4 linked regions of the Anolis sagrei genome follow. The protein of the gene in region 4 purifies or fractionates together with the protein of the main gene of each other region. This does not show direct contact. Links are inferred from orthologs where the notes say so. Each region holds a gene or a part of one and is shown on either strand. Other genes may lie near its edges.

Region 1 (7,391 bases), on a different chromosome or scaffold from region 4:
GAGTACTGGACCCGGAAGTGCTTTTGTGGAGAGTAGACAAAGCCAAAGTTCAGTCACTGACACAAAAAAAACAACAAAAAACAACAAAAAACAAAACCAGATACAGATGCATTTGCATTTTCACCCTTGTGAAAATCTCTTTCATTGTGTCTAACATAATTTAACTCTTTAGGACAGGGGTCCACAAACTTTTTAAACAGAGGGCCAGGTCACAGTCCCTCAAACTGTTGCAGGGCCGGATTATAATTTGAAAAAAAAAATGAATAAATTCCTGTGCACACTGCACATATCTTATTTGTAGTGCAGAAAACACTTAAAAACAATGCAATTAAAATGAAGAACAATTTTAACAAATATAAACATATTAGTATTTCAATGGGAAGTGTGGGCCTGCTATTGGCTGGTGAGATAGGAGTGTTGTGTTGTTGTTGTTGTTGTTGTTGTTGTTGTTGCGCGCTTTCAAGTCATTTCAGACTTAAGTTGACCCTGAACGAGGGCCGGGTAAATGACCTTGGAGGGCTGTATCCGGCCCCCGGACCTTAGTTTGAGGACCCCTGCTTAAGGACATACTGTATAAATAAACATCCTTTGAAAAAGAGTACACATGCATGATCCCATATCCATGGGAGATATGTTCTAGGATTTTGTGTGGATTCCAAACTGTGGATAAAAACGAACCCTATTATTGTCAATGGGACAAACAACAGAGAAAGTGAGATGAGGCTGTGGTTTGTACAAGAGGCCCTAAGAAAATAAGGGAGACCATGGATAAGTGAAACTGCATATATCGGTTGGGATCATATAGTCGTCCTAACCATTTTGTGGTTCTGACTTTTGCAGATTTGACTATTCATAGATTAGATTGTAAATGTTCTCTAGGGCTCCTTCCATACAGCCATATAACTCAGAATATCAAGACAAATAATCCACAATATCTGCTTTGAACTGGGGCCCCTTCCACATAACTAAATAAAATCCCACATTATCTGCTTTGAACTGGAATACATGGCAGTGAGGACTCAGATGAACCCGTTCAGAGCAGATATTGTGGGAATGTCTGCCTTGATATTCTGTATTATATTGTTGTATGGAAGGGCGCTCAGATATCTGAGTCTACACTGCTGGATAATCCAGTTCAATGTGGATTTTATACATCTGTGTGAAAGGGGTCTGGAACTCTTTAGGTTCACTGCTGTTTCTGATCAACTTCCTCCACAATCATGCTGAAAGGCCTAGAGATTTATAGGGAGATCACCTCTCGAAGGCTGCATCCATATTGTAGAATTGATGCAGTTTGACACCCCTTAAACAGCTATGGTTCAATGCCATGGAATCCTGGGAGTTGTAGTTTTGGTGATGCACTAGCACTCTTTGGCAGAGAAGCCAAAAGACTTCACGGAATCACACCTCACACAATTCCAGAGCATTGAGCCATGGTTGTTAAATGGTGTCAAACTACATTTGTTGTGGTTGTTTATTCATTTTTATCCCACTTTTATTCCATGGGTGGGACTTAATTCTACAGTGCAGATGCACTCTAGTTTTTCCAATGCAATTCTGTGGTAATCTTCCTGCAGAGGTTGACTACAGAGTCAAGCTGGAAGACACAAAAATTCGTAGAGAGATGTTCTCTCAGGTAAAAAAAGAAAACAACTTCTTCATTTGCAGTTTCCTATTGTCACAGGAGCCCTGTGCAAATAGGGAGGGATGACTGTACTGTCTTTACCTTCATGGCACCTGTCAACAACATGATTTTTGAATGGATTTCATTTGGCAAATAATCCCCCAAAAGTAGTTTTGCCCATTCCTTCCTCTGAAATATAACTTGGTGTTTGGGTTGTAGGTTTTTCCGGGCTATATGGCCATGTTCTAGAGGCATTTTCTCATGACGTTTCGCCTGCATCTTTGGCAAGCATCCTCAGAGGTAGTGAGGTCTGTTGGAAGTAGGAAAATGGGTTTATATATCTGTAGAATGACCAGGGTGGGACAAAGGACTTTTGCTACTTTTCCTACTTCCTACATTTTCCTACTTCCAACAGACCTCACTACCTCTGAGGATGCTTGCCATAGATGCAGGTGAAACGTCAGGAGAAAATGCCTCTAAAACATGGCCATATAGCCCGAAAAACCTACAACAACCCAGTGATTCCGGCCATGAAAGCCTTCGACAATAACTTGGTATTTGTTGGGGGACTCCCACCCAAATACCAACTAGAGGTGACTCTGCTTAGTTTCCAAGATTAGGTAGGATGTGGTGAATTTAGGGTATTGAGGCCTGGTGTGGTGGAGGCCGAATCCACCTGGCAAAATCTCCAGGGGATCTCTCAACGTCCTTTGATGAATTTCAAAAGATGAGAAAGAAGTTGCCTTATGATAGTTTAGTTCTACACTGAATGAATGAATGAATGAATGCAGTTTGGGACCATTGCCATGACTCAATGCTGAAACCTTTGGGAGCTGTAGTTTCACAAGATCTGTAGCTCTTTCTGCCAAAAAAAGGGCTGGGGTCTCACTAGAATACAATTCCCATGGATTCCAGAGCCATGGGGGTTAAAGTGGTGTTAAACTGCATTAATTCCACAATATAGATCAGGCCTGGGCAAACTTGGGCCCTCCCTCCAGGTGTTTTGGACTTCAATTCCCACAATTCCTAACAGCCTACAGGCTGTTAGGAATTGTGGAAGTTGAAATCCAAAACACCTGGAGGGAGGGCCCAAGTTTGCCCAGGCCTGATACAGATGCATCCTGTGTGTATTATTTTGTCCTTTTTTCCTCTTCTTACCCCAAACCTCTTTCTCCACGCGTCCCATGATGGAGCTGACTCTCTTCCCACTGAGCTCAAAAAGGCTGAGAGGCCCTCGCTCAGTCTCCTCCTCAGACTCGGCCTCCATGATCGCCCAGGCGACAGCAACCTCCTGGAAGAACTTGGCTGGATGACGCCATCTTGGGAGGGTCCCTCATTGTTAGGTGGAGGCGTGATGCGGCCGCCATATTGAGGAGGTCGGCCATCTTGGTAGAGTCGAACGCTCCCACCAACGCCTGCGGAGTCGGGAAGGGGGAGGAGCCACCTGAAGGTCGACCGGAAGCGGCACTCGGATAGGGCGGGATATCCGTTGGAGCGTGCGTGGGATGACCCTTGGGCGTCCTTCTGAGGCTTCAATTCAAGATGGGGAGGCAGGATGAGGCCGCGCTGGAGGGACGGAGCGGGGACCCGGAGGTAAGCCCCACTTTCTCCCAGTCGAGAAGGAGCGAGGCCTATCTTTTCACTTCAGGGAACGCCGAGCCTTTTATTTCCTTCTCTGAGAGTCCCCCTCCCTTGCCTTGGCCACCCTTTGGCCTCCCTCTGCTTCCTTGTTCTCCTCCTTGCCTCCCTTCCTATACAACGTTATCCTCACCCCATGGTTTTTACAGGATTTTCTTCAGCAAGGAAGAGTGCATCTATACCAGCTATGGGCAAACTTGGGCTCTCCAGGGGTTTTGGACTTCAACTCCCACAATTCCTAACAGCCTTTCAAGACACCACAATTGAAGAGAGATATTGACAAGCTAGAATGTGTCCAGAGGAGGGCGACTAAAATGATCAAGGGTCTGGAGAACAAGCTCTATGAGGAGCGGCTTAAGGAGCTGGGCATGTTTAGCCTGAAGGAGAGAAGGCTGAGTGGAGATATGATAGCCATGTATAAATATGTGAGAGAAAGCCACAGGGAGGAGGGAGCAAGCTTGTTTTCTGCTGCCCTGGAGACTAGGAACTATGGCTTCAAACTACAAGAAAGGAGATTCCATCTGATCATTAGGAATCAATGATCATCCGGAGTTTCGGGGTGCGGTGTCATCTGTACGCAGATGATGTCCAACTCTGTCACTCCTTCCCACCTGCTACTAAGGAGGCTGTTGAGGTCCTGAACCGGTGCCTGGCCGCTGTAACGGTCTGGATGAGGGCGAACAAACTGAAACTAAATCCAGACAAGACAGAGGTACTCCTGGTCAGTCGCAAGGCCGAACAGGGTATAGGGTTACAGCCTGTGCTGGACGGGGTCGCACTCCCCTTGAAGGCGCAGGTTCGCAGCTTGGGTGTGACCCTGGACTCATCGTTGAGCCTGGACCCCCAGGTTTCAGCGGTGACCAGGGGAGCATTTGCACAGCTCAGGCTCGTGCGCCAGCTGCGCCCGTATCTCGGGAAGTCTGACTTGGCCACGGTGGTACACGCTCTTGTCACATCCCGCCTGGACTACTGCAACGCTCTCTACGTGGGGCTGCCCTTGAAGACGGCCCGGAAGCTTCAGCTGGTTCAGCGCGCGGCAGCCATGTTACTAACTGGAGCGGGTGGCAGGGAGCACACAACGCCTTTGTTGTCCCAGCTCCACTGGCTGCCGATTTGCTACCGGACCCAATTCAAGGTGCTGGTTTTGGCCTACAAAGCCCTAAACGGTTCCGGCCCCAAATACCTTTCCGACCGCATCTTGGCCTATGAGCCCACGAGGACCTTGAGATCGTCTGGGGAGGCCCTTCTCTCGATCCCGCCTGCCTCACAGGCACGGCTGGCGGGGACGAGGGAGAGGGCCTTCTCGGTGGTGGCCCCCCGGCTGTGGAACACTCTCCCTGCACACATCAGACAGGCGCCTTCCCTCATGTCCTTTCGAAAAAGCCTTAAGACATGGCTGTTCGAGAGGGCATTTAATTAAGTGCTAAACAATACGGTAATGAGAACTGGAATGGAACAAGGAATATGAGACTGGCTATGATTCCACTAAGAGACGAAGCGGATTTTTAGTGTAGTCTGTAATTGTTGTATAGTTTATATGTTGTTGAAACTGGCTTTTTTGTAATTGTCTTTTATGTGTACTGTACACCGCCATGAGTCGCCCTTATGGGCTGAGAATGGCGGTTAATAAGTGCATCAAATAAATAAATAAATAATAAATAGGAAGAAGTTCTGACACTGCGAGCTGTTCAGCAGTGGAACTCTCTGCCCCAGAGTGTGGTGGAGGCTCCTTCTTTGGAGGCTTTTAAATAGAGGCTGGATGGCCATCTGTCAGGGGTGCTTTGAATGCAATTTTTGTTCTTCTTGGCAGAGGGTTGGACTGGATGGCCCATGAGGTCTCTTCCAATTCTCTGATTCTATGAAAACTACCAGAGGGCCCAAGTATGCCCATGCCTGATCTATACAGTAGAAGTGATTCAGTTTGGCCCCACTTTAACTGCCCTCATTGCATACTAGGAAATCATAGAATAGTTTGCTTTTGTTTGCTTTCCAGCAGCCAATAATGAACGGACCAAGGCAGTGACATCTCTGGCTCATCCTCTGTTTGGATATCAGCCAGCGTGCCAATGCCTTAAATCAAGAAATAGTCTTCTAAGATCTACAGATACTCGCAGGAACACCTCAGCAAGCGAGAGTCCAAAAGTCACAGGTGAAAACCCTTGCCTCAAGCCATGGCTGAGACCGAATGAGAGATTCCCCCTGGGCACACAGAAGACTGGGCAATTTGGAAGGCACCACGAGATGCAGAGCTAACCTTAAGAAGTTGAGTCTATGACATGCAAGTGTGTAGAAGTGCAAACCACCTATTACAATGCAGTCAGAGCCCTGCCACATTCACAATGAAGGTCAGCAACACCAGAGGCACTCCCAAGTGGCCAGCCACTGGTCAACGGACAGTTAATATAATGCCAAGTTTCTAAACTTTGTGTCTTTTTAAAATACAACTGTAACCTCAGTTGGCTTCTAATACATTAAATACATATTAGAGAAGGCTAAAGACATTGCAAAACTACAACTCCAATGAATCCATAGCATTGAACCATGGGCAATTAAAGTGGTGACAAACTTCATTAGTTATACATGCACCCAAAGACTCAGAGGTGCTTTGTCATTTCTTTCTTCTGAAATATAATCTGCAGCACCAGGCATTTGTTGATTTCCTCTCCACCTGCTAATCCAGGCATACCCTGCTTAGCTTCCAAGATCATATAGGTTTTAGTGGATTTAGTATACTTTGACGACCCCCCCCCCTTACATAAGAGTATATCCTATTCTCCTTCAGTGTTCAATGAACACACTGGATTGATTTGTCCTCCCACTGATTATGATGCTCACTTCTACTCCTCCTCTATCTAAAATTACTTACTCAGAGCAAAAAATCAATGATTCTTTCAGCCCTAAGAGACTAGGGGCCTTTCCAGACAGGCCCTATATCCTAGGTTTACTGTTTTGCTGTTTATCCTGTATTATCTGGCAGTGGAGACACATATAATCTATTTTAAAGCAGAAAACCTGGGATCAGATCCTAGGATATAGGGCATGTCTGGAAGAGCCCTTACTTCCTGGGAACTATGTGTATAGGAGTGTGTTATCAACAGTTGCATCCACACTGTAGAATTAGTACATTTCTACACCAGCTTAACTGTCATAGCCTAGTTAAGATGACTGCGCTCATTGGAAGAGAAGAATAAAGACATTGTAAAATGAAAAGTCTCATGATTCCATTGCATTGAGACACGGTAGTTAAAGTGGACTCAAACTTGCGTCAATTCTACAGTGTAGATGCCTTTGGTGACTGTTTCTGATTCTTTCACTAGTAGATTGGGATGATTTTGGGGATAAGCCTTAGACAGAGACAAACCAATTTACATTCATACATAAATAGACATGTGCATTAGCTAGCCCCCCTAGAACTGGTCATGGCAGGAGACAAAATGCTTCACTGAAATCTGCATATAAATATTCTAAACAATTTCTGTGTTGTTTTATTGAATTTATATTAGCTATTTCATCACTACTTGCTTTGCTACCTTCTCTTTTTTATATTAAAGCATTCTAGTTTCACAATTACTGTATTTATCATGCCCTCCCCTGTCCCACTTTTCATAGAGATGTTAACTTCTTTTGTGTGTGAACCTGTATGATCTGATCTTCAAACAGATCTACCATTACTATTTTATGGGGCACACTTTAAATTGTATTTCCTAGAAGAGTTATGACTTTATATCTGTAGTACTTAGTATACCTTTACATGTACTTTGAAAAAAACATTCTATGCAATATCCCCTTCAATGCTGATTCTGTTTATCTTTGTTTTTCTTCTGATTTAATTCACACGATTTTGAGGGCCCTTATATTTGTATTATATCTCAGGTTAGGTTCCTACTTACAGCCTGGCCTATAAAACTGTGAATTTCATATTGGTTTTGAAAATCAACTTGCTTAAATTTGAGACAAGTACCACTATATTAAAAAAAAAAAGTTTCTGTACTAAGCAAATATAAAGCTTGTGTTGTAACATAAAACTATACTATTTAGTGAAAATGGAAAGTATTGACATAGTTGTTGATTTAGCTATGACTGGGGGTATATTCTCATTGTGTGAATGTAAGCAGACTTAAGTCCATTT
Region 2 (8,088 bases), on a different chromosome or scaffold from region 4:
AAGTATGCCAGAATTAGGTTTCACAGTGCCTGGCACTAAAAAAGGTACCAAAGGGAACAAGCAAGAGAAAAAGAGAGAAATACTGCATGCACGATATAGAAGAAGGGGGGAAGAATAGCAGTTTAACAATGTTACTTAACACTTATTAAGCAACACTTCCAAAATGATATGTATATCACAGCTGATTGCATGGCAAGTGAGATTATTATTCCCTCCCTGTGATGCAGAGGGAGACTGAGAAGAGAGTGCAGTTTAGCTAAAACCAGATACTGGGTTTATTTATGGGAGAGGCCAGATCATTACCTGGGACTTCCTGATTTGTAAGTTGTTTTTGCTTACAAGGTGCTTCCCAGAGGCACAACCATACAAAAGTTATGGCACTAGGGGCTCAGATCCCTTATTTGGCAGCCAAACCTGGACGCTTTGACTCCATCTATACTGGCCATTTTATGCAGTTTTCAATCAAGTACTCAAGAAAGTAGTTTCACGGTACAGAGTATTGCATCAGAAATCCTAGGACCAGTTTGAAGTCCGGAGGCGATGTCACAAATCACAGAGCACTAATGCACATTCAGGACTTTCTCTCACACACTTCTGTGGGAGTTTGTTTTTGGATGCCCAGAGTTTGAAGCTAGCATTAAATGGTCAGTGTAAATGGGGCCTTAATGAGTGAGCACTCTTATGCATAGAAACACAAGAGTTGGAAGAGACTAGGACCAAGAGGACTGAAAGCAAGGATTGAAGTACAGTTGATCTAACTTTAATTCAGCCACCACTGAAGTGCATTTGAACTCCCTTTAATTCAACTGTGATTTAATTCAGTAGCTCTGTTTTTAGCAATATCTTAGGATCCTAGAGTAGGAAGAAATGGGTCATCCAGTCCAAGCTTATTCTGCCCTGCAGGAAATGTATAATTCAAACACTCCCAACAGATGGGCATCAAGCCTCTATTTAAAGACCTCCAGAGAAGGAGACTCCACTGGACTGGCATATTACACGTTCTTCCTGATTTTTAGGTGGGATCCTCTTTTCTTGCAATCTGAATATTTCCAAAATAAAAAATATCAATATTGTTGGAAGGGATGGGAAACAATGATTGAGGTACATTTGAACTCCCTTTAATTCAAAAGGTGGTTTAACCCTGTAGCTCTTGTTTTTTTTAGCAATTATCTTAGAATCCTAGCATTGAAAATAACCCCAAAGGCCATTCAGCCCAATCTTATTGTGTCAAGTAGCAATACACAATCAAAACATTCCCAACGGATGACCAACCTCTTAGGGGGTTGGACTAGATGGTCCATGTGGTCTCTTCCAACTCTATGATTCTATATTTAGGTGGAATCCTCTCTTTCTGAGTCCCTCCGGGGAGATAGAGAGGAATATAAATATAGTTATTATTGTTATTATTATTATTATTATTATTATTATTACTATATATTCCTGCAATCTGAATCTTTAAAAGAATCAATCTTGTTGAGAGGTATGACGGTGATCTCTAAATGCATTTGAACTTCCTTTAATTCAACGGTGGTTTAATAAACCGTAGCTCTGTTTTTAGCAGTATCTCAGAATCAACAGAGTTGGAAGGGATCTTAAGGGCCACCCAATCAGGTTATTCTTCCATGCAGGAACCCGCAACACAAGCATTCCTCCTTGCTTAGGAAAACCATATGAAATCCATGGGGTCACCCTATGCTGACAAGTGAAGCTCCAGTTACACTGCCATATAATCCCATCTCTAGAACCGTCTCTGAGGATTATTATCTGCGTTGAACTTGATTATATGGCAGAGCGAATCCAGCCTGACTCCCTTTAATTCAACAGCGGTTTAACCCTGTTGATCTGCTTTTGGCAACCTCCTACAACCCCAAGAAAGAGACCACAACAGCCATTATTATTATTATTATTATTATTATTATTATTATTATTTTACTGACACAAAAACACAGCAAACGAGATATATATGCTGGATTTTGCATCAAAAATCACAAGTTGAACACTTCCCAAGTGTCTAGAACTGTGTGATGTATTTTCGAATAATGCGCACAGCTCCAAGTAAGCTGGCCTTTTGCAGGTGACAGAGTGTGACTTTGTCAATGTTTATTGTTTCCAAATGCTGGCGGCCATTATCATCATCATCATCATCATCATTCTCTGTAGTTCTTTGGCAATCTCTTACAATCCCAAGGAAGAGACATCAAGGGCCATTATTACTATTATATTATTATAATATATTATTATTATATTCCCTATAGCTCTGCTTTTGCCAATCTCTTTGAATCCCAAGGAAGAGACCCCAATTGCCATTATTACTATTATTATTTCTACTACTATTATTATTCTATTCCCTGTAGCTCTGCTTTTGCCAATCTCTTATCCCCAAGGAAGAGATCTCAATGGCCATTAGTGCGATTATTATTATTATGTAATATACTATTAACTTGGAATATTACTATTATTATATTATTATAATATTCCCTGTAGCTCTGCTTTTGGCAATCACATCTCGCCATTATGCTTACTCTTAGGCTTATTCTTATTATAATTATTGCAATATCATATATTACAAATATATAATATTTATAGATTAATAACATCATTTTTATTATGTTCCTTGTATTTCTGGTTTTGGCAACCTCTTACAACCCCAAGGGTCATTATTATTATTATTATTATTATTATTATGTTATATATTATCATCATTATAATTATTCTTAAATTCCCTGTATCTCTTTGGCCATTATAAATTATTATTATTGAAGATCTTTCAATACAATTTTAATAAAATCTACAAGCATTCATATCAGGTTTAATTATCATTGGCATTACATTTTTAAAAACCCCTTAAAATCCGCATTCAAAACTAAACCAAAAACCCACCCAGCATGGCCTGCCTGAATAAATAAATAAATAAGAAAAGACCCGGGCCGGGGCCCATTCGGCGAGGTCACGATCAGAACCCTCCCGACAGATGTCAATCCCCTCCCGTCTAGGCCTCACCTGCCCGCCTGCCTGTTTCCTTCCTGCTTCCTCCTCCTTCTTCTCTGAGTCGGCCGCGCTCGGCTCCTGCACGAACGAGCCAACGCAGCGGCTACGGCGTCCTCCCATAGGCTTCCCTACACGTCAATCAGCAATGATGAGCGGTGGGCAGGGAAATGCAAGCGAGAGTCGCCCTCCCACAGGTTCCCCCGCACGTCAGTCAAACCGCCCTACCTTGTGTATTTTTTCTCTCTCCAGCCTCCACAGGTGCCCCATCCAATCAGGAGCGGCAGCCGTGGAAAAAGTAAAGGAGAGCGGCACTTCCATAGGCTCGTCTGCACGTCAGTCATCCCATCCTTCCTTGTGTTTGTTCTCTCTCGCGCCTCCTCAAGTGCGCCTCCAATGACAAGCGGCGGGCGGGGAAAACGCAAGGAAGAACGGCCCTCTTATAGGCTGCTCCGCATATCAGTCAGTCCGCTTTTCCTTGTGTTTTTTTTCTACTTCCCGCCTCCTCAGGGGGGTTCCTCCACTCAGGAACGGCGGGCGGGGAAAAAGCGAGAGAGAAGGGAAAGGCCTGGGAAATGTCACTCAGCCTGAAGACGTTTGATCCCGCCCTCTCAGGCTGACGCGCCCAATCACGAGCCGCGAAGGATTGGTGAGCGGGGAGAGAAGGCAGAGACAGAGAGAGAGAGAGAGAAGGGGAGGGACCATAGACTACTCGTCCCGGCATGCAGCGCGCGGCCTTGGTGCGCTGACGCTGAGCGTGAAATAAGACAAAGCATGTTGGGAAGGGGAGGAAGAGTTCCTTCCTTCCTCATGGCGTCTCCATGGCAACAGGGCTCTCCCTCTGGCCTCTCCATACACACAGGCCCCTTTCCTTCCCCAGTGACGTAGAGGAAGACAACTTCACCTAGCAACGGCTGATCTTGGGTCATGACAGAGGGTCACTTCACCTAGCAACGGCCAAGCCAGTGACATCGTAAAAAACCACCGGATTGTCACCTAGCAACAGCTTTTTGTACAAACAGACAGACATACCTGACTGTATATGTATATATATGTCTCTCTGTGTGTGTATGAATGTGCATTTCATAATGTGTGATTAATGTATCTTTTATTAGAAATGACCTTGATTTACAGGAGTTCTAGTTCACCTGCATCCAGAGAAAGAGTGACCCCCACCGACAATGGACCAGGACCAAACTTGGCACAGAGAAGCCCCATGACCAACTGAACATACTGCAGGGATTTGTGGGAATTGGCCTTCATTTTGGGAGTTATAGTTCACCTACATCTGGTGACCCCCACCGAAAATGGACCAGGACCAAACTTGGCACAGAGAAGCCCCTTGACCAACAGAAAATACTGCAGGGATTTGTGGGAATTGATCTTCATTTTGGGAGTTGTAGTTCACCTACATTCAGAAGAACAATGACCCCCCACCAACAATGGACCAGGACCAAACTTGGCACAGAGAAGCCCCAAGACAACTCAGTGTTGGGCTTTGTGGGACTTGACCTTGTTTTTGGGAGTTGTAGTTCACTTGCATCCAGAGAAACAATGGCCCCCACTGACAATGGACTTGGACCAAACTTGGCACACAGAAGCCCCATGACCAGCTGAACATACTGCAGGGGTTTGTGGGAATTGACCTTCATTTCGCAAGTTGCAGTTCACCTTCATCCAGCGAAACAGTGACCCCCATCAACAGTTGACAGGAACCAAACATGACACAGAGAAGCGCCATGACCAAGTGAACATACTCAGGGGTTTGTGGGAATTGAGCTTGGTTTGAGGAGTTGTAGTTCACCTGCATCCAGAAAGTACTGAACAGAGGCAACGTCAGATCTGGACCAAACTTGGTGCACAGACCCAACAGAGCCAACTATGCATACAGACGGGGTTTGGGGGCAATTGCCCAGGGAATTTGGGAGTTGTATCCAGAGAGCACTAAACTCAGCCAACGATGGATCCGGACCAAGCTTGGCACACAGACCCAACATGGCCAAGTGCGAATATGTTCCGCCTCGTAGTCTTAAGATCTGCTGGGGAGGCCCTGCTTTCGGTCCCACCAGCTTCGCTAATGTGACTGGTGGGGATGATGGACAGGGTCTTCTTGGTGGTGACCTCGCTGCCTGTGGAATTCACTCCCCAGCGAAATTAGATCAGCGGCCTCCCTCCTTTCTTTCAGAAGAAAACTGAAGACGTGGTTGTGGAACCAGGCTTTTGGCTAATGGATTTAACGGCACCAGAACAGTGAATTGGACCAGACGGTTGTTACAATGGAAATGCCTTTATGATTGGATAACTAATGCTGTTTTAATGTATCGTACTGTATGATTTTATTTTGCTTTATTATTGTAATTATTGCAGCATTGAATTGTTGCCTTTGTTAGCCGCTCTGAGTCCCCCTGCGGGAGTGAGAAAAGCAGGGCAGAAATGCTGTAAATAAATAATAAATAAATACTGTCAAGGTTTGGAAGTGATTGCCCTAGGAATCCAGGAGTTGTAGTTCACCCTCATCCAGAGAGCATGGAACCCAGCCAACAATGGATGTGGATCAAATTTAAAGTTTTGGGTTTTTTTTAATGTCAGGAGCAACTTGAGAAACTGCAAGTTGCTTCTGATATGAGAGAATCAGCTGTCTGCAAGGACATTGCCCAGGGGACATCCGGATGTGTTTCCATCCTGTGGGAGGCTTCTATCATGTTCCTGTATGAGAAGCTGGAGGTGACCAATGGGAGCTCACCCCGCTCCCCAGATTCGACCTGCCGACCTTTCCGTCAGCAGTCCTGCCAGCACAAGGCTTTAACTCATTGTGCCAGTGGGAGCTCCACCAAACTTAAGTGATATTACCTAACATCCCAAAACAAACAATGCCTTCTTCTAATAACCCGGGCACCTGCCCAATAAATCCCAGTGTTTGTATGTATTTTCCAAGAAGGCCCCAACTTTCAGGGAGCACTGTAACTCCCACCAACAATGGATCTGGACCAATCTTGGCACACAGAAACCCCATGGCCAACAGAACACACAGGAGTGGTTTTGGGGGGAATTGACTTTGAGTTGGGTGAGTTGTAGTTCACCTACATCCAAAGAGTATTGCAAACGCAAATGACAACATGTGGATCATACTTGGCACACAGATCCAACATGGCCAACTGTGAGCACTGGTGGGGTTTGGGAGTGATTGACCTTGGAATCTGGGAGTTGTAGTTCACCCACCTCTGGAGAGTACTGAAACCAGCCAACGACAAATCTGAACCAAACTTGACTCACCCAACATGGCCACCTAGGAATACTGTCAGGGTTTGGAGGTGATTGACCTTGGAATATGGGAGTTGTGGTTCACCCACGTCCATGTATCAAATATATGAGAGGAAGTCATAGGGAGGAGGGAGCAGGCTTGTTTTCTGCTGCTCTGGAGACTATGGTTTCAAACTGCAAGAAAGGCGATTCCATCTGAACATAAGGAAGAACGCCGCCCTGAGTCCCCCCTTGGGGGTTGAGAAGGGCGGGGTAGAAGTGCCTGAAATAAATAAATAAATAAACTTCCTGACTGTGAGATCTGTTCAACAGTGGAACTCTCTGCCCCGGAGCATGGTTGAGGCTCCTTCTTTGGAGGCTTTTAAACAGAGGCTGGATGGCTATCTGTCGGGGGTGCTTTGAAAGCGATTTTCCTGCTTCCTCACAGGGGGTTGGACTGGATGGGCCACGAGGTCTCTTCCAGCTCTATGATTTTATGATTATGCTTTTTCTAATGGAAGCAATCATAAAAAGCAAATTATTAAACTGATATTTCTAAACATAAAAATCGACTTTTTTCAAATAACCTGTGTACCCAAGCTAGCCTGCCTGCTATCTATCTGTCTATCTATCTATCTATCTATCTATCTATCTATCTATCTATCTATCTATCTATCTATCTATCAGAAGCCTCAAAAGAAAAAAGAGACGGGGGACACGAATCCAGGGATTCTCATGGCTGCCAATCTCTTTGCGCAGCACATGGGAAGCCACAACTGCTGCCTGAACAAAAGATGATGATGGTGATGGTGATGACAATGACAGCAGGGGAAATTCCCCAGTAGGATTGCCAGATGTCCCTTGTTTGAAAGCCCATCCCTCGCGTAAAAGGATTGTCTTGTGACTTATCATCTTGGCCCCAATGCACAGAATGGGGAAGGGTCTTTCTTTCATGTTGTGCAGATGGTGCTCTGTGGAACGCCGGGCGTATTAGCATCTTGTACAGAAATGGATTAGATTGTGCCATAGTTTTATCCCTTCCTTGAGACCGACAGAGAAACGAGAGGAATATTTTTCAGTTTGCACATGGAACCTTATTATTATTATTATTATTATTATTATTATTATTATTATTTAAATAAATGAATTTTGTTATTGGGTTGCTGTGAGTTTTCCAGGCTGCATAGCCATGTTCCAGAAGCATTCTCTCCTGATGTTTTGCCTGCATCTATGGCAGGCATCCTCAGAGGTTGTGAGGTTTGTTAGAAACTAGGCAAGGAGGGATTATACAAATGGCTTATTGGCCTATGCATTTTGACTAACCCTGTATATCTGTAGAATGATGCCCAGGATGGGAGAAATAATTATTGTCTGTTTGAGGCAGGTGTGAATGTTGCAATTGGCCACCTTGATTAGCATTAAATGACCTTGCAGCTTCAAGGTCTGACTGATTAGCTGGCCCCTGTTTTTTAGTGTTGTTCTTTATTTACTGTTTTGATTTTAGAGTTTAAACTGAACCACCTAAGCTGGGCTCTACAGGCCAATAGAGACTCCACCAGACATAAGAAGAGCTGCAAGACCAAGAAGAAGCCATGAGCGAAAAGTGTTCTTCCCATATATCAAGGGAATCACTGACCACATAGGGAAGCTGATGAAGAAGCACAACCTACAAAGAAAAAGGAATAAAACCAACATACACTGGCATTTTGGAGAAGAGGTCAATATAAGAATGATTAACATTAAGGATGAATATATATCCCATGGGTGGTGGTGGGTGCACGTAAAGATTAGATGTATAAAAAATATGATTGTGTAAATGATTTATTGTATGTTTTGTGTTAATGTTCGTTGTGTATGATTTGT
Region 3 (7,577 bases), on a different chromosome or scaffold from region 4:
AGACATCTGACCTTGCGCTTGGCTACTCTGCTGTTGAATATGCATGTCCAGTGTGGAACACATCTCATCACACTAAAACAGTGGATATAGCTCTTAATGAGACATGCTGTATTATCACGGGCTGTCTGTGCCCTACACCACTGGAGAAATTACACTGTATAACCAGTATTGCGCCACCTGACATCCACCGGGAAGTATCAGCCAATAATGAAAGGACTAAGGGAATGACATCTCTGGACCATCCCCTGTTTGGATATCAGCCTGCACGTTAATGCCTTAAATCAAGAAATAGTTTTCTAAGATCTACGGAGATACTCACAGGAACACCTCAGCAAGCAAGAGTCCAAAAGTGGCAGGCTAAAACCCAGCACCTCAATCAGTGGCTGATACCAAATGAGAGACTCATTTCTACGCACACAGACGACCGTGCAATTTGGAAGGCACTGAACAGACTGCGCTCTGGCGCCACGAGATGCAGAGCCAACCTTAACAAATGGGGCCACAAAGTGGAGTCCACAACATGCGAGTGTGGAGAAGAGCAAACCACTGACCACCTGCTGCAATGCAACCTGAGCCCTGCCACATGCACAATGGAGGACCTCCTTATAGGCAACACCAGAGGCACTCCAAATGGCCAGTTACTGGTGAAAGGACATTTAGTATAATGCCAAGTTTTTTAAAACTGTGTTTTTTAAATACATTACAGATTTGCTCCTGATACGATAAATAATTGTGAAAGGTGGAGTATCCCTCATGTGGAAATCCAAAACCCCAAATCCCCAATGGGCTTCCTGAGGCCCCATTCACACTGCTGTGTAACACCCACATTGAACTGGATGATATGGCAGTGTGGACACAGATAACCCAGTTCAAAGCAAACCTTGTGGATTATCTGCCTTGATATTCTGGGTTATATATATGGCTGTGTGGAAGGCCACTCAGGTAACCCAGGGCCCTGTCCACACAGTCATATCATCCAGAATATCAAGGCAGATAATCCACAAGATATGCTTTGAACTGGATTATCTGAGTCCACACTGCCATATAGTGCAGTTTAATGTGCATGGATGGGCCCTTCCACACAGCCATATCACCCAGAATATCAAGTCAGATAATCCCACAATTGTTTAAAAAAAGTCACCTGGGAAGGTCAAGAGCTTGAACATTATTTCCATCCTAAATATCTCGGTGTCACCTTAGATCGAACACTAGCATATAGGAAACACTGCTTGAACACCAAGCACAAAGTAGCTGCATGCAATAACATCCTGGGGAAACATACTGGCAGCACATGGGGTGCAGACCCAAAATTAATAAAAACATCAGCCCTGGCCTTTTCCTACTCAACTGCTGAGTATGCCTGCCCTGTTTGGCATAGGTCTGCCCATGCAAAGCAGGTGAACATAGCATTGAACAAAACATGCAGAATAATCACAGGATGTCTTAAACCTATACCTGTTGATAAACTCTACAAGCTAGCTGGCATCCCCCCCCCCCATGTGCAGCGGGAAGTTGCTGCTAAATGTGAGAGAAATAAGGTCGTACACCGTGAAAGCCATTCACTACATGGTTACCAGCCTCCTCCCAGTAGACCAGTGTTTCTCAACCTGGGGGTCGGGACCCCTGAGGGGGTCGCGAAGGGGTGTCAGAGGGGTCGCCAAAGACAATCAGAAAACACAGTATTTTCTGATGGTCATGGGGATTCCATGTGGGAAGTTTGAGCCAATTCTATCGTTGGTGGAGTTCAGAATGTTCTTTGATTGCAATGAACTATAAATTCCAGCAACGACAACTCCCAAAAGTCAAGGTCTATTTTCCCCAAGCTCCACCAGTGTTCACATTTGCACATATTGAGTGTTTGTCCAAGTTTGGTCCAGATCCACCATTGTGTGAGTCCACAGTGCTCTCCGGATATAGGTGAACTACAACTCCCAAACCCACCAAACCCTTCCAGTGTTTTCCGTTGGTCATGGGAGTTCTGTGTGGCAAATAAGGTTCAAATCCATTGCTGGTGGAGTTCAGAATGCTCTTTGATTATAGGTGAACTATAAATCCCAGCAACTACAACTCCCAAATTACAAAAATCAATCCTCCCCCAACCCCACTAGCATTTACATGTGGTTGCATTGGGTATTTGTGCCCAGTTTGGTCCAGTGAATGAAAATACATCTTCCATTTCTGATATTTACATTATGATTTATAACAGTAGTAAAATGACAGTTATGAAGGAGCAACAAAAACAATGTTATGGTTGGGGGTCACCACAACATGAGGAACTGTATTAAGGGGCCGCGGCATTAGGAAGGTTGAGAACCACTGCAGTAGACTCAGATCAAGGAAAAGCTTTATGAGAACTACCACTCCTCTTGGCGTTCCCCCAGCAACAGCAAGGGTATCCCTCTGGGCAGCTAAATCGAAAAATCCCAACCGGATGGCCCTCACGAGGGTCTTCCTCCAGGGGCAAACCAAGAATGAGCAACCTGGAAGTCCCTGCACAGACTGGAGTGGGCAGATCAAAAGACAACCTGGCAACAGGGCACTACCTAAAAGAATCCCACACCTTGTGTGACTGTGGAGCAGAGCAGACATCCCCGCATCTGTATGCTTGCCCACTCTGCCCTGCCTCATGTACTGAGGAAGAATTGTTGGGGGCTACCGACAATGCCGTTGCTGTTGCCCGTTTTATTTAGCCACCTGCGCTCCTTCTATTTTTCTTATCGTTTTTATACTAATTTATGAAATGCTTTTGATACGAAATAAATAAATCCCGCAATCTATCCTTTGGACGGGATTATCTGAGTCCCCACGGCCATATATCGCAGTTCCAAGCAGAGAATGTGGGGCGGTATTGGGCGGTGTGGCAGGGGCCTGGGCCTGAAGGGCAGCTTCCATGGCCAAGGCGCCTGCTAGGGCAGGGTGGGAGCAGCAGTGGGCGGCCTGCTCGGGCAGAGGAGGCGCGAGGCTTGGCAGAACGGCTCACCCTCCGCTTCCTCTCCCTGAGGCGCCGGCCTCCCCTCCATCCGGACCGCATCAGAAAACACAGCAGAGCCGGCGCCGGGGACACTTCCTTTTCCTCTTCTTGGGGGTCACGTGATCCCTCCTCGGCCGGGGAGGGGCTAATTGCCGAGGAGGCTAGGTGGGCGTGGTTTGAGGAGAGGGCGGGGCTGTCAGCATAGGCCGGACAGGGGTTCCAGTGGCACCTTTGTCCTAGGGCAGCGCATGCGCGTTGGGCTCTGGGCGCTTTTCCCGCCTTTTTTCTCTTCCTGGCCTACCTGCCTCCCAGTCCTCTTCGCCCTCTCTTCCCTCTTCTTGCCTTCCTTCTGAGAAACAGAAGGCGCCTTCCCTCTCAGGTGCCCAAACAAATTTGTGAACATCCTCCATGATGACATGATGGCAACAGTCTTGGACAGCAATGGCTCCCAAAGTGACCCATTTAAGGTGGAATCAGGTGTCAAACAGGGATGTGTTACTGCCCCAACCTTATTTCCCATCTTCATCGCAATGATACCTCATCTTGTTGATGGGAAGCGTCCCACCGGAGTGGAAATCATCTATTGGACAGATGGCAAGCTGTTTAACCTCAGCAGACTGAAAGACAAAACCAAGGTCACAACAACATCTGTTGTAGCACTCCAATATGCTGACGACAACATCATCTGTGCGCATTCAGAATAAGACCTACTCGCCAGTCTAAACACCTTTGCAGAAGCATATGAGAAGCTTGGTCTGTCATTGAACATCAAGAAAACCAAAGTGCTCTTCTAGCAGTCACCAGCCAATCCCTCTCCAATGCCAGAAATACAGCTTAATGGTGTAACATTAGAAAATGTTGACCATTTCCGCTACCTTAGCAGCCATCTCTCCACAAAAGCCAACATCGACACCGAAATACAACACTGCTTGAGCTCTGCGACTGCAGCATTTTCCCGAATGAAGCAGAGAGTGATTGAGGACCGGGACATCCATAGGGATACCAACGTTCTTGTTTATAAAGCTATTGTCCTCCCAATCCTGCTATACGCTTGCGAGGCGTGGACAGTCTACAGATGTCACATGCAACTCCAGAAAATGCTGCAAATCTCTTGGGAAGACAAGCGGACAAATGTCAGCGTTCTGGAAGAAGCAAAGATCACCAGCAGTGAAGTGATGGTCCTCCGCCATCAGCTCCGCTGGACTGGCCACCATCTCCCAAATCAGTTGCTCTACTCCGAACTCAAGAATGGAAAACAGAATGTTGGTGGGCAAGAAAACAGATTGAATGATGGGCTCAAAGCCAACCTTAAAAACTGGCAAAGACACTGAGAACTTGGAAGCCCTGGCCCTTGAGTGCTCCAGCTGGAGGTCAGCTGTGACCAGCAGTGCTGTAGAATTTGAAGAGGCTGTTTAAACTCTTGAAAGATGATGCTATCAAGGTGTTGCATGCCATATGCCAGCAAATATGGAAAACACAAGAATGGCCATCGGATTGGGGAAAAAATCAACTTATCTCCCCATATCAAAAAGGGAAACACTGAAGCATGCCCAAACTTTTGTGCAGTGGCACTTATTTCACATGCCAGTAAGGTGATGCTCAAGATCCTGCACGGTAGACTCCATCAATACATGGAGAGAGAGTTGCCAGATGTACAAGCTGGGATTAGGAAAGGCAGAGGAAGGAGAGACCAAATTGCCAATATCCGCTGGATAATTGAGAAAGGCAGGGAGTTCAGAAAAACATCTATTTCTGTTTTATTGACTATTCTAAAGCCTTTGACTGTGTGTATCACAATAAATTGTAGCATGTTCTTGGTGTGTGGGGATACCAAGTCATTTTGTCTGTCTCCTGAGGAATCTGTATAAAGAACAAGTAGCAACGGTAAGAACAGGCAATGGAACAACCGACTGGTTCAGGATTGGGAAAGGAGTATGGCAGGGCTGTATACTTTTACCCAACCTATTCAACTTGTATGCAGAACACATCATGCGATGTGTGTGGCTTGATGAATCCAAGGCTGGAGTTAAAATTGCTGGAAAAAACATTAACAATCTTAGATATGCAGATGATGCCCCTTTGATGGCTGAAAGTGAGGTGGAGCTGAGGAGCCTTCTAACCAAGGTGAAAGAAAAAAGTGCAAAGGCTGGATTGCAGCTAAATATTTAAAAAAAACCAAGATGATGGCAACCAGACTGATTGATAACTGGCAAATAGAGGGAGAAAACGTGGAGGCCGTGAAAGACTGTATTTCTAGGTGCGAAAATTACTGCAAATGTGGAATGCAGCTGGGAAATCAGAAGACATTTCCTTCTTGGGAGTTGTTGTTGTTGTTGTTCATTCATTCAGTCACTTCCGACTCTTCATGACCTCATGGACCAGCCCACGTCAGATCTCCCTGTTGGCCATCACCACCCCCAGCTCCTTCAAGGTCAAGCCAGTCCCTTCAAGGATAACATCCATCCATCTTGCCCTTGGTTGGCCCTCTTCCTTTTTCTTTCCATTTTCCCCAGCATCATTGTCTTCTCTAAGCTTTCCTGTCTTCTCATTATGTAGCCAAAATACTTTATCTTTGCTTCTAATATCCTTCCCTCCAATGAACAGTCAGGCTTTATTTCTTGAAGTATGGACTGGTTTGATCTTCTCGCGGTCCAAGGCACTCTCAGGACTTTCCTCCAACACCACAGTTCAAAAGCATCTCTCTTCCTTTGCTCAGCCTTCCCTATGGTCCAGCTCTCACATCCGTAGGTGACTACAGGGAATACCATTGCTTTAACTATGCGGATCTTTGTTGTCAGTGTGATGTGTCTACTCTTCACTATTTTATCGATTTTGGTCATTGCTTGGAAGGAGAGCAATGACCAATCTCAATAAAAGAGTTAAGAGTAGAGATATCACACTGGCAACGAAGGTCCAGCATAGTTAAAGCAGTGTTATTCCCAGTAGTAATGAGAAGACAGGAAAGCTTGGAGAAGAGAATAATGCTGGGGAAAATGGAAGGAAAAAGGAAGAAGGGCGGATCAAGGGCAAGATGGAGGGATGTCATCCTTGAAGGGATTGACTCGACCTTGAAGGAGCTGGGGCACCCATGGCAGACAGACAGCTCTGGTGTGGGCTGGGCCAGGAGGTCATGAAGAGTTGGAAGCAACTGAACAAATAAACAACAATAGATTTGCACGTTCCCTTCAGCACCTCAGTGTCCTAGCCCATGTTTTCAACAGGAAAACAACAAACCAACCTATACAAGTCTTTTTTTTATTAATTTACAAAAAACTGGTTGAAAAAATACTGCTGGCCTGAGGTAACTTCTTCCAAGTTACTAACCAAAAATACAAACGAGGCCCAAATATATAAATTTGGCAATCTCTGTGCAATTTGACACTCCTTTCCCTGCTTTGGCTCAATGCTTTGGAATGGTGGGAGTTATAGTTTCACAAGGCCTTCACCAAAGGACAGAATCCCAGATTCCATGGCATCCATTCAACAGTGCAGACACACCCAGAGCTCACCAAAGAGAGACTATATTTAGGGATAGTTTCTTGAAGCAGGAAGTCCAAATGCAAATGGGAATGCCAAAGCTCACTGACCAGATCGCACAGTAGACTCTCTGTTGACTGGAACTCAAGCAACCGGCAAAAAATCGATCCAAGAATCCTTTAAATCAAAAGCTGTAAAAGATGGTTGCATTGCATTGAGTTTGTCCTCCTTGGCTTTTAGGGATTGTCTTTCAATATGAACCACAAGTCAATACAGAGTTTATACTAGTATGGCACAGTCTGAGTTAAGCCTATTTTAAAGAGTGACTCTCAAGCATCCAGAAATGCCCGTTCCCCAGCATCTACCACTCAATCTCATGGGAAGCCATGGGTTAACAAAAAGAGAGCCTCCTGTGCAGGTGCTTTTGTCTCCCCACCGCTCTTCCTGTGAGCGTTGTTTGGATGAGTCAGGCTTTGGGAACAAGGTCCTCCATCAAGGCTGCAAAGCGTGGCGTCTGCCCATGGCAACTCGGGTGCTGAATGGCAAGGTGCTACTAAAGCAAGACGCCTTCCTGCACAATGGCCTCGATTGCATAGCAAAGCCAAGGCAGCTCTAAACAGAGATGCTTACGCATCACATACAAATGCCTGTCAATGTCCATGTATGAAAGACCCACAGGACTGGCTTTCATTTTTGTTATTTTCCATTTGTGCTCAATCCCCGAGTACATGGCTGAGAGCAAATAGCAGATGTAGGGAATAATGCTGTTTATAGTTGCAAGTCACTCATATGAGATACATTTGTTAGCTTCCAGTTATTACAGTAGACTCTCAGGTTAACTGGCACCCAAGGGGGATTGGTAGATGCTGGATAAGGAGAGGCGAGTAATCATAACAACACTTTGCAACACAATTTTTGTTTCTGGGTTAGAAATGTCATTTCCTAATTGGCTCTTTCATAGAAACATGGGAAACATTTATTCAACTGCAAAACCTTTGTTTCTGTGGGACATCCTGCTAGAGAACTTGTTGCTATAGTTTTTCAATGAATATCTCATCGAGTCTCAACCAATTCAACATAGTTTGCAGCAGCCACAAAAACGAAGTTTCTGGAGTAGAACAATGACTTT
Region 4 (7,944 bases):
GCCATATATAAATATGTGAGGGGAAGTCATAGGGAGGAGGGAGCAATCTTGTTTTCTGCTACCCTGGAGACTAGGATGTGGAACAATGGCTTCGAACTACAGGAAAGGAGATTCTACCTGAACACGAAGAAGACCTTCCTGACTGTGAGAGCAGTGGAACTCTCTGCCCCAAAATGTGGTGGTGGCTCCTTCTTTGGTGGCTTTTAAACAGAGGCTGGATGGCCATCTGTCAGGGGTGCTTTGAATGTGATTTTTCCTGCTTCTTGATAGCGGGTTGGACTGGATGGCCCACGAGGTCTCTTCCAACTCTATGATTCTAAGAACTTCAATGTATCAGAATTATCTCAGGATCCTTCCATGCAGTTGTATAAAATCCACACTGAAATGGATTATATGGCAGTGTGGGCTCAGGGCCCTTCTACACAGACATACAACCCAAAACATCAAGGCAGATAATCTACAATGTCTGCCTTGGACTGGGTTATCTAAGTCCACCCTGACATATTCCAGTTCAATGTGAGATTGAATATAGCTGTGTGGAAGAGGCCTCAGCCCAAGCACAGATCTCTACATATAGCCATCCCCTGCCACATGTTGCTGTGGCCCAGTCTGGTGAGCTGGAAAATAAAGTAGGGAGAAAGTGTTGGTTGATGCAATTTCTTTATGCTTGTGGGTAAACAGTATTTCTTGTTGTTTCTTTGTCAGTGTTGATGTGGAGATTGTCTGGACTGCCTACTCTGGAACAAGCAACATATAATTGTCCTTCTTTAAGGATTCCCTTTCAAATATATACTATATCTGTCATATACATACATATTTGTGTGTGTGAATCATATATACCTTATCTGTATCTATGGCTTAATGGCTCTTTATCAGGAGGGCTTTGATTATGTTTTCTTGAAGGAAGTTGGGAGTGGATGGCCTTAAGGCAGCATTTCTCAACCTGGGGGTAGGGACCCTGGGGGGGGGGGTCACAAGGGGGCGTTAGAAGGGTTGCCAAAGACCACCAGAAAACACAGTATTTTCTGCTGGTCATGGAGGTTCTGTGTGGGAAGTTTGGCCCGATTCTATCGTTGGTGGGGTTCAGAATGCTCTTTGATTGTATGTGAACCATAAATCTCAGTAATGACAACTCCCAAATGTCAAGATCTATTTTCCCCCAACCCCATCTGTGTTCATATTTGGCATATGGAGTATTCATGCCAAGCTTGGTCTAGATTCTTAACTGTTTTGAGTCCACAGTGTTCTCTGGATGTAGGTAAACTACAACTCTTAAATTCAAGGTCCATGCCCACCAAACCCTCTAGATCAGTGGTTCTCAACCTGTGGGTCCCCAGGTGTTTTGGCCTACAACTCCCAGAAATCCCAGCCAGTTACCAGCTGTTAGGATTTCTGGGAGTTGAAGGCCAAAACATCTGGGGACCCACAGGTTGAGAACCACTGCTCTAGATCCTTAACTGTTTAAGTCCACAGTGTTCTCTAGATGTAGGTGAACTACAACTCTGAAATTCAAGCCCACCAAACCCTCCCTGTATTTTCTGTTGGTCATGGGAGTTCTGTGTGCCGGGTTTGTTCTACATCCTTAATTGTTTGAGTCCACAGTGCTCTCTGGATGTAGGTGAACTACAACTCCTAAACTCAAGGGCCATCAGATCCTTCTAGTGTTTTCTCTTGGCCTGTGTGCCAAGTTTGGCCCAATTCTATTGTTGGTGGAGTTTAGAATACTCTTTGATTGTGGGTGAACTATAAATCTCATGACTCCCAAATGTCAAGGTCTATTTTCCCCAAACCCCATCTGTGTTCATATTTGGCATATGGAGTATTCGTGCCAAGTTTGGTCTAGATCCTTAATTGTTTGAGTCCACAGTGTTCCCTGGATGTAGGTGAACTACAACTCCTAAACTCAAGATCCATGCCCACCAAACCCTTCTGGTGTTTTCTGTTGGTCATGGGAGTGCTGAGTGATAAGTTTGGCTCAATTCTATAGTTGGTGGGGTTCAGAATGCTCTTTGATTTTAGGTGAACTGTAAATCTCAGTAACTACAACTCCCAAATGTCAAGGTCTATTTTCCCCAAACCCCATCTGTGTTCATATTTGGCATATGGAGTTTGGTCTAGATCCTTAATTGTTTGAGTCCACAGTGTTCCCTGGATGTAGGTGAACCACAACTCCTAAACTCAAGGCCAGTGCCCACCAAACCCTTCTAGTGTTTTAAATCTCAGTAACTACAACTCCCAAATGTCAAGGTCTATTTTCCCCAAACCCCATCTGTGTTCATATTTGGCATATGGAGTTTGGTCTAGATCCTTAATTGTTTGAGTCCACAGTGTTCCCTGGATGTAGGTGAACTACAAATCCTAAATACAAGGCCCATGCCCACCAAACCCTTCTAGTGTTTTCTGTTGGTCAGGAGAGTCCTGTGTGATAAGTTTGACTCAGTTCTATAGTTGGTGGGGTTCAGAATGCTCTTTGATTGTAGGTGAACTATAAATCGCAGCAACTACAACTCCCAAGTGACAAAATCAATTCTGATGATCACTCCTTGGGTTAGTAGGTGCCTTGTGGCCAAATTTGGTGGCAATGAGTCCAGCGGTTTTTGAGTTATGATGTCACCCAAAACGAACACAGCACTTAAATATAGATAGATATAATCTACATACAGACACACAGCCTCTCTTCTTCCCTCCTCACTTCCCCTTCTTGGCTTTCCCTCTTCTCTTCCTCCTCCTCTCCACATAATAACCTCTCAACCCTCCTCCAGGCCCAGCCGCCTCCTCCTCTCACCTTTAAGAGATTAGACGTCGCCATGTTGCCCCCCTCCACAGCACGCAAGGGGAGGGGGGCCCGCGCAGGCGCACAAGAGAGGCCTGACCAGGCCGGCGGCGGCGGCGGCGGATGAGATTTCGGCGGCGGCGGTGGCGGCTTCCTCTCTTCCTTTGCCTTTACATGCTTCGCCGCTCGGTCAGGGGCTGGCACTAGCTTCCGCCTCCTCTTTCCCCCTCAGCGCCTCATGGCCTCTTTCACGGAGGAGGCTTCGCAGGAGAGCCGTCGTCTCGCAGCGGCCCGGCTCCGCGAGAGCCCACATGATGCGGCGCCCCAGAGCCGGAAGCCCCCGCCGCACCGAGGGAAGGGGAGGGAGGGAGGGAGAGTGTGCGCCGCTGAGGCTTCCCACCACAGCGACCCCTGCCGGCCGGAGGTCATCCTGACACTCTTTTTTTCTTCTTCCTCGCAGAATTCTGCCTTAACCTCCCTCCCCGCTGATGACGTCATCGCTAAGCTCTTGGAAGCTAAGCAGGGTCAGCCTTGGTCAGTACTTGGGTGGGAGGCCGCCAAGAAGGACCAGGTGATGTTTCACAAGGTGGGCCAAAAGTCACAACGGGGTTTCAGTATTTAAACATAATAACACACATTTATATTTATATGCATATTTATTTATTTATTTATTTATTTTATTTGCTTTTTTTCTATACCGCATTTTTTCAGCCCTTGACAGGCGACTCAATGCGGTTTACATGGTACAAGTATCAAACAGTGTCAGTGCAATTAAAACATAACAATGCAACAAACAGGATCAACAGCATCAATCCACAACAATTAACAATCAACAAGACAGATCAACAAGACAAACATAACATAACGCCTCAGTTGAAATCAGATCCGTTTTCATAATCCTTGTGCCATTCCTATGTTCCATTTACCGTCTTCCTATGATTGGTTGCACTGCTTAACCAAACGCTTGTTCATAAAGCCAGGTCTTAACCATTCTCCGAAACGTCAGCAGCGAAGGTGCCTGCCTGATGTCTGCCAGTAGGGCATTCCATAGCCGAGGGGCCACCACTGAGAAGGCCCTGTCTCTCGTCCCCGCCAAGCGCGCCTGTGACGCAGACGGGATCGAGAGCAGGGCCTCCCCAGACGATCTTAATGTTCTGGTCGGTTCATAGGTAGAGATGCGTTCGGAGAGGTAAGCAGGGCCAGAACCGTTTATGGCTTTATAGGCTAAAGCCAGCACCTTGAATTGTGCCCGGTAGCGGATTGGCAGCCAGTGGAGCTGGCTCAGCAGAGGAGTGGTATGCTCCCTGAGTGCCGCTCCCGTTAGCAACCTGGCCGCCGAGCGCTGGACCATCTGAAGCTTCCGGGCAGTCTTCAAGGGCAACCCCACGTAGAGCGCATTGCAGTAATCAATCCGGGATGTAACCAGAGCGTGGACTACCGTGGCCAAGTCAGACTTCCCAAGGTACGGGCGCAACTGGCAACATATATAATGTGTATATGTGTATACATGTACACACATATATTTGTATAAACACACATATGTGTATAAAGTGTGTATGTATATACATGTACATACATATACACAACATATATAATGTGTATATGTGTATACATGTACACACATATATTTGTATAAACACACATATGTGTATAAAGTGTGTATGTATATACATGTACATACATATACACACATTTATGTATGAAGTGTATATGTACATGTGTATACATGTATATCTCTGGTTGTACTGGTCCATACTCTCATCCAACCTTTTTAACTTGTATGCAGAACACATCATGCGATGTGCGGGGCTGGATGAATGCAAAGCTGGGGTGAAAATTGCTGGAAGAAACATTAACAACCTCAGATATGCAGATGACACCACTCTGATGGCCGAAAGCGAGGAGGAGCTGAGGAGCCTTCTAATCACGGTGAAAGAAGAAAGCGCAAAAGCGGGTTGCAGCTAAACATCAAAAAAACCAAGATTATGGCAACAAGAATGATTGACAACTGGAAAATAGAGGGAGAAAATGTGGAGGCCGTGACAGACTTTGTATTTCTAGGTGCAAAGATTACTTCAGATGCAGATTGTGGCCAGGAAATCAGAAGACGCTTACTTCTTGGGAGGAGAGCAATGTCCAGTCTCGATAAAATAGTAAAGAGTAGAGACATCAGACTGGCAACAAAGATCCGCCTAGTCAAAGCCATGGTATTCCCTGTAGTCACCTACGGATGTGAGAGCTGGACCTTAGGGAAGGCTGAGCGAAGGAAGATCGATGCTTTTGAGCTGTGGTGTTGGAGGAAAGTGCTGAGAGTGCCTTGGACTGCGAGAAGATCCAACCAGTCCATATTTCAGGAAATAAAGCCCGGCTGCTCATTGGAGGGAAGGATAGTAGAGACAAAGTTGAAGTACTTTGGCCACATCATGAGGAGACAGGAAAGCCTAGAGAAGACAATTATGCTGGGGAAGGTGGAAGGCAAAAGGAAGAGGGGCCAACCAAGGGCAAGATGGATGGATGGCATCCTTGAAGTGACTGGACTGACCTTGAGGGAGCTGGGGGTGGTGACGGCCAACAGGGAGCTCTGGCGTGGGCTGGTCCATGAGGTCACGAAGAGTCGGAGACGACTGAACGAATGAACAACAACATCTGTATGCATATAATGTCTCTGGCATAGACACTGAGAACTGGGAAGCCCTGGCTGGAGGTCAGCTGTGACCAGAAGTGCTGTAGAATCTGAAGGGGCAAAAGAGAGAAACATGTGAAAAGGAAGGCCTGCCAAGCCAACCCTGACTGGGACCACTTTCCACTTGGAAACCAATGCCCTCACTGCGGGAGAAGATTCAGATCAAGAATAGGGCTCCACAGTCACCGCTTATACACCGATCTTGGAAGACAATCCTACTCGGACAACGAGGGATCGCCTATGTATGTAAGTAAGTAAGTAAGTAAGTAAGCATATAATGTGTATATGTATATACATGTACACACATATATTTGTATACACACATGTGTATAAAGTGTATGTATATACATCTACACATATACACACATTTATGTATAATGTGTATATGTACATTATACACATGTATACACATATATGTATAATGTGTGTATGTATATACATGCACACATGTATTTATGTATGTGTATATGTATATACATGTACACACATATATACATTTATGTATGTGTATATGTATGTATGTGTGTAAATGTTTCACATGTAGATATTTATGTATGCTTATATGTATATACACATAAACACAAATATACACACATGTATACATATATACACATATACATGTATGTGTATAATGTATATATATATATATATCTGTGTACATGGACACACATAACATGTATAATGTGTATGTGTATATGCATGTACACACATATGTGCACACATATGTATAATGTTAATATATACATGTAAACACATATACACACATATATAATATGTATATGTATATACACGTACACACATGTATACAAACATATGTATAATGTGTATATGTGTATACAAGTACATACATATACATATATACACATATATTTATGTATGTTTAGATGTATATACATGTACACACATATACACACACAGGGTGCATCTACACTGTAGAATTTTACTGTTTATGGATGTATTTTAATTTGATTTATGTCTAACTGTAATTGTACAATTGTAATTGTTTGTGCTGGCATTGAATTTTGCCATTACCTATGTGGAAACCGCTTTGAGTCCCCTTCGGGGTGAGAAAAACGGTATACAAATGTTGTAAATAAATAATAAATAAATAAACATATCCTCTGAAGATGCCAGCCACAGATTCAGATGAAAAGTCAGGAGAAAATGCCTGGAAACCACACAACACCCCTGTGATTCGAGCTGTGAAAGCCTTCAATAATACAGATGTATCATATGTATGTTATTAAATATTGAAATTCCTTTGTGTCTTTTGGCCTACTCTATCTATTATGATGCCATGGTATTGGATATAATTTACCCAATTAGATTTTTTTACATGTAATGTACTCCATGTGATGCTATGATATTGTAACCTACAAAACAAAAAAATTAAGGAGTTATGAAATATTGAAAACTATTTGTGACTTTTGCCCACCTTATCGATTTCCAAGGAAGGAACTGGCAAAAATCACCTCTGTGAATGTACCTACGCTGTAGAATTATTGCAGTTTGCTACCATTTTAACTGCCATGACTCAATGCTGTGGAGTCATGGGAGTTGTACGTACCAGCACTATTGGCAAAGTGGGCTAGAGTCCTTGTAGAACTGCAACTCCCATGGTTCCATAGCATTAAACCATTACAGTTTGTCTATATTAATTTTACGGTGTAGGTGCACCTTATATATTTTGTGCCTAAGATAACTCTATGAAATTCACGAGGTCTCCATATGTCAAAAGGTGACATGGAGACGGGGCCTAAGTGATCTAGGTCTAGAAGTCTGATTATGAGCACTCTTTCTGCTTGTGTTTCATAGCATTGAGCCATGGCAGCTAAAACGGAGTGTAGATGTATTGTTTTTCTCAATCCAGTTCAAGAAATATTCACTTCTTGGGCTACATAAATCAGACCAAGGACTCATCAGAATAGAGTACACATTACATAGCTTTATTTAAATTTTTTTTGAAAATGTAAAGACCAGAAAGCATGTAGATAATAAAATGGTAATAAGAGTATGATAGAAAATATCTTGCTACTTAATAGCACCTTTGTTGCTGATATCAATATATGCAACTTCCTGTAATCAAGAATGGATTGTGTTGGAAGTGAAAGGCACTCACCAAAAGTATGGATGCAGTGTCTACATACTGGAGAGATGCCCTAGCTATGTGAAAATAGTATACAAGTTTGCAAAGCAAAGTGGCAGATTAAACACACACACAACAAAGTGCCAGATAGGAGATGGTGAGTTTACAGGACGTACCAGTAAGTAGCATTTGAGTTTGGGGTGGTGTCTGAAGCAAGGTTCTCCAGTCTCGTTTTCTCCAGATATTCTGAGCTACAGATGTAGTCATTCTCAGTTAATCTTGCCAAAGAAGACTGACACAGGGTGCATCTACACTGTAGAATTAATGCAGTTAAACATCACTTTAACCCCCATGGCTCAATACTAATGGGATTTGGGATTTGGTGAGGCACCAGCCCTCTTG

The links.
Region 1: the proteins of CUL5 (region 4) and LRRC41 purify together in Homo sapiens (affinity purification with mass spectrometry; 3 studies listed by BioGRID and IntAct, counting the BioPlex papers as one, with this or other methods). This does not show direct contact. The link is inferred for Anolis sagrei from reciprocal best matches to the Homo sapiens genes CUL5 and LRRC41.
Region 2: the proteins of CUL5 (region 4) and RAB40C purify together in Homo sapiens (affinity purification with mass spectrometry; 5 studies listed by BioGRID and IntAct, counting the BioPlex papers as one, with this or other methods). This does not show direct contact. The link is inferred for Anolis sagrei from reciprocal best matches to the Homo sapiens genes CUL5 and RAB40C.
Region 3: the proteins of CUL5 (region 4) and WSB2 purify together in Homo sapiens (affinity purification with mass spectrometry; 3 studies listed by BioGRID and IntAct, counting the BioPlex papers as one, with this or other methods). This does not show direct contact. The link is inferred for Anolis sagrei from reciprocal best matches to the Homo sapiens genes CUL5 and WSB2.

Annotation. Positions count from the first base shown.
Region 1 is NC_090024.1:178,395,484-178,402,874, reverse strand, and holds the start of LRRC41 (leucine-rich repeat-containing protein 41), read right to left. Parts: upstream 3,023-7,391; 5' UTR 2,892-3,022; coding exon 2,783-2,891; intron 21-2,782; coding exon 1-20. Other genes in the region: UQCRH (cytochrome b-c1 complex subunit 6, mitochondrial), read left to right, coding at 3,167-3,217. UniProt on the Homo sapiens protein: Probable substrate recognition component of an ECS (Elongin BC-CUL2/5-SOCS-box protein) E3 ubiquitin ligase complex which mediates the ubiquitination and subsequent proteasomal degradation of target proteins.
Region 2 is NC_090034.1:27,645,545-27,653,632, reverse strand, and holds the start of RAB40C (ras-related protein Rab-40C), read right to left. Parts: upstream 3,115-8,088; 5' UTR 3,001-3,114; intron 1-3,000. UniProt on the Homo sapiens protein: RAB40C small GTPase acts as substrate-recognition component of the ECS(RAB40C) E3 ubiquitin ligase complex which mediates the ubiquitination and subsequent proteasomal degradation of target proteins.
Region 3 is NC_090034.1:43,464,211-43,471,787, forward strand, and holds the start of WSB2 (WD repeat and SOCS box-containing protein 2), read right to left. Parts: upstream 3,109-7,577; 5' UTR 3,021-3,108; coding exon 2,981-3,020; intron 1-2,980. UniProt on the Homo sapiens protein: May be a substrate-recognition component of a SCF-like ECS (Elongin-Cullin-SOCS-box protein) E3 ubiquitin ligase complex which mediates the ubiquitination and subsequent proteasomal degradation of target proteins.
Region 4 is NC_090023.1:26,179,037-26,186,980, reverse strand, and holds the start of CUL5 (cullin-5), read right to left. Parts: upstream 3,126-7,944; 5' UTR 2,810-3,125; coding exon 2,786-2,809; intron 1-2,785. UniProt on the Homo sapiens protein: Core component of multiple cullin-5-RING E3 ubiquitin-protein ligase complexes (ECS complexes, also named CRL5 complexes), which mediate the ubiquitination and subsequent proteasomal degradation of target proteins.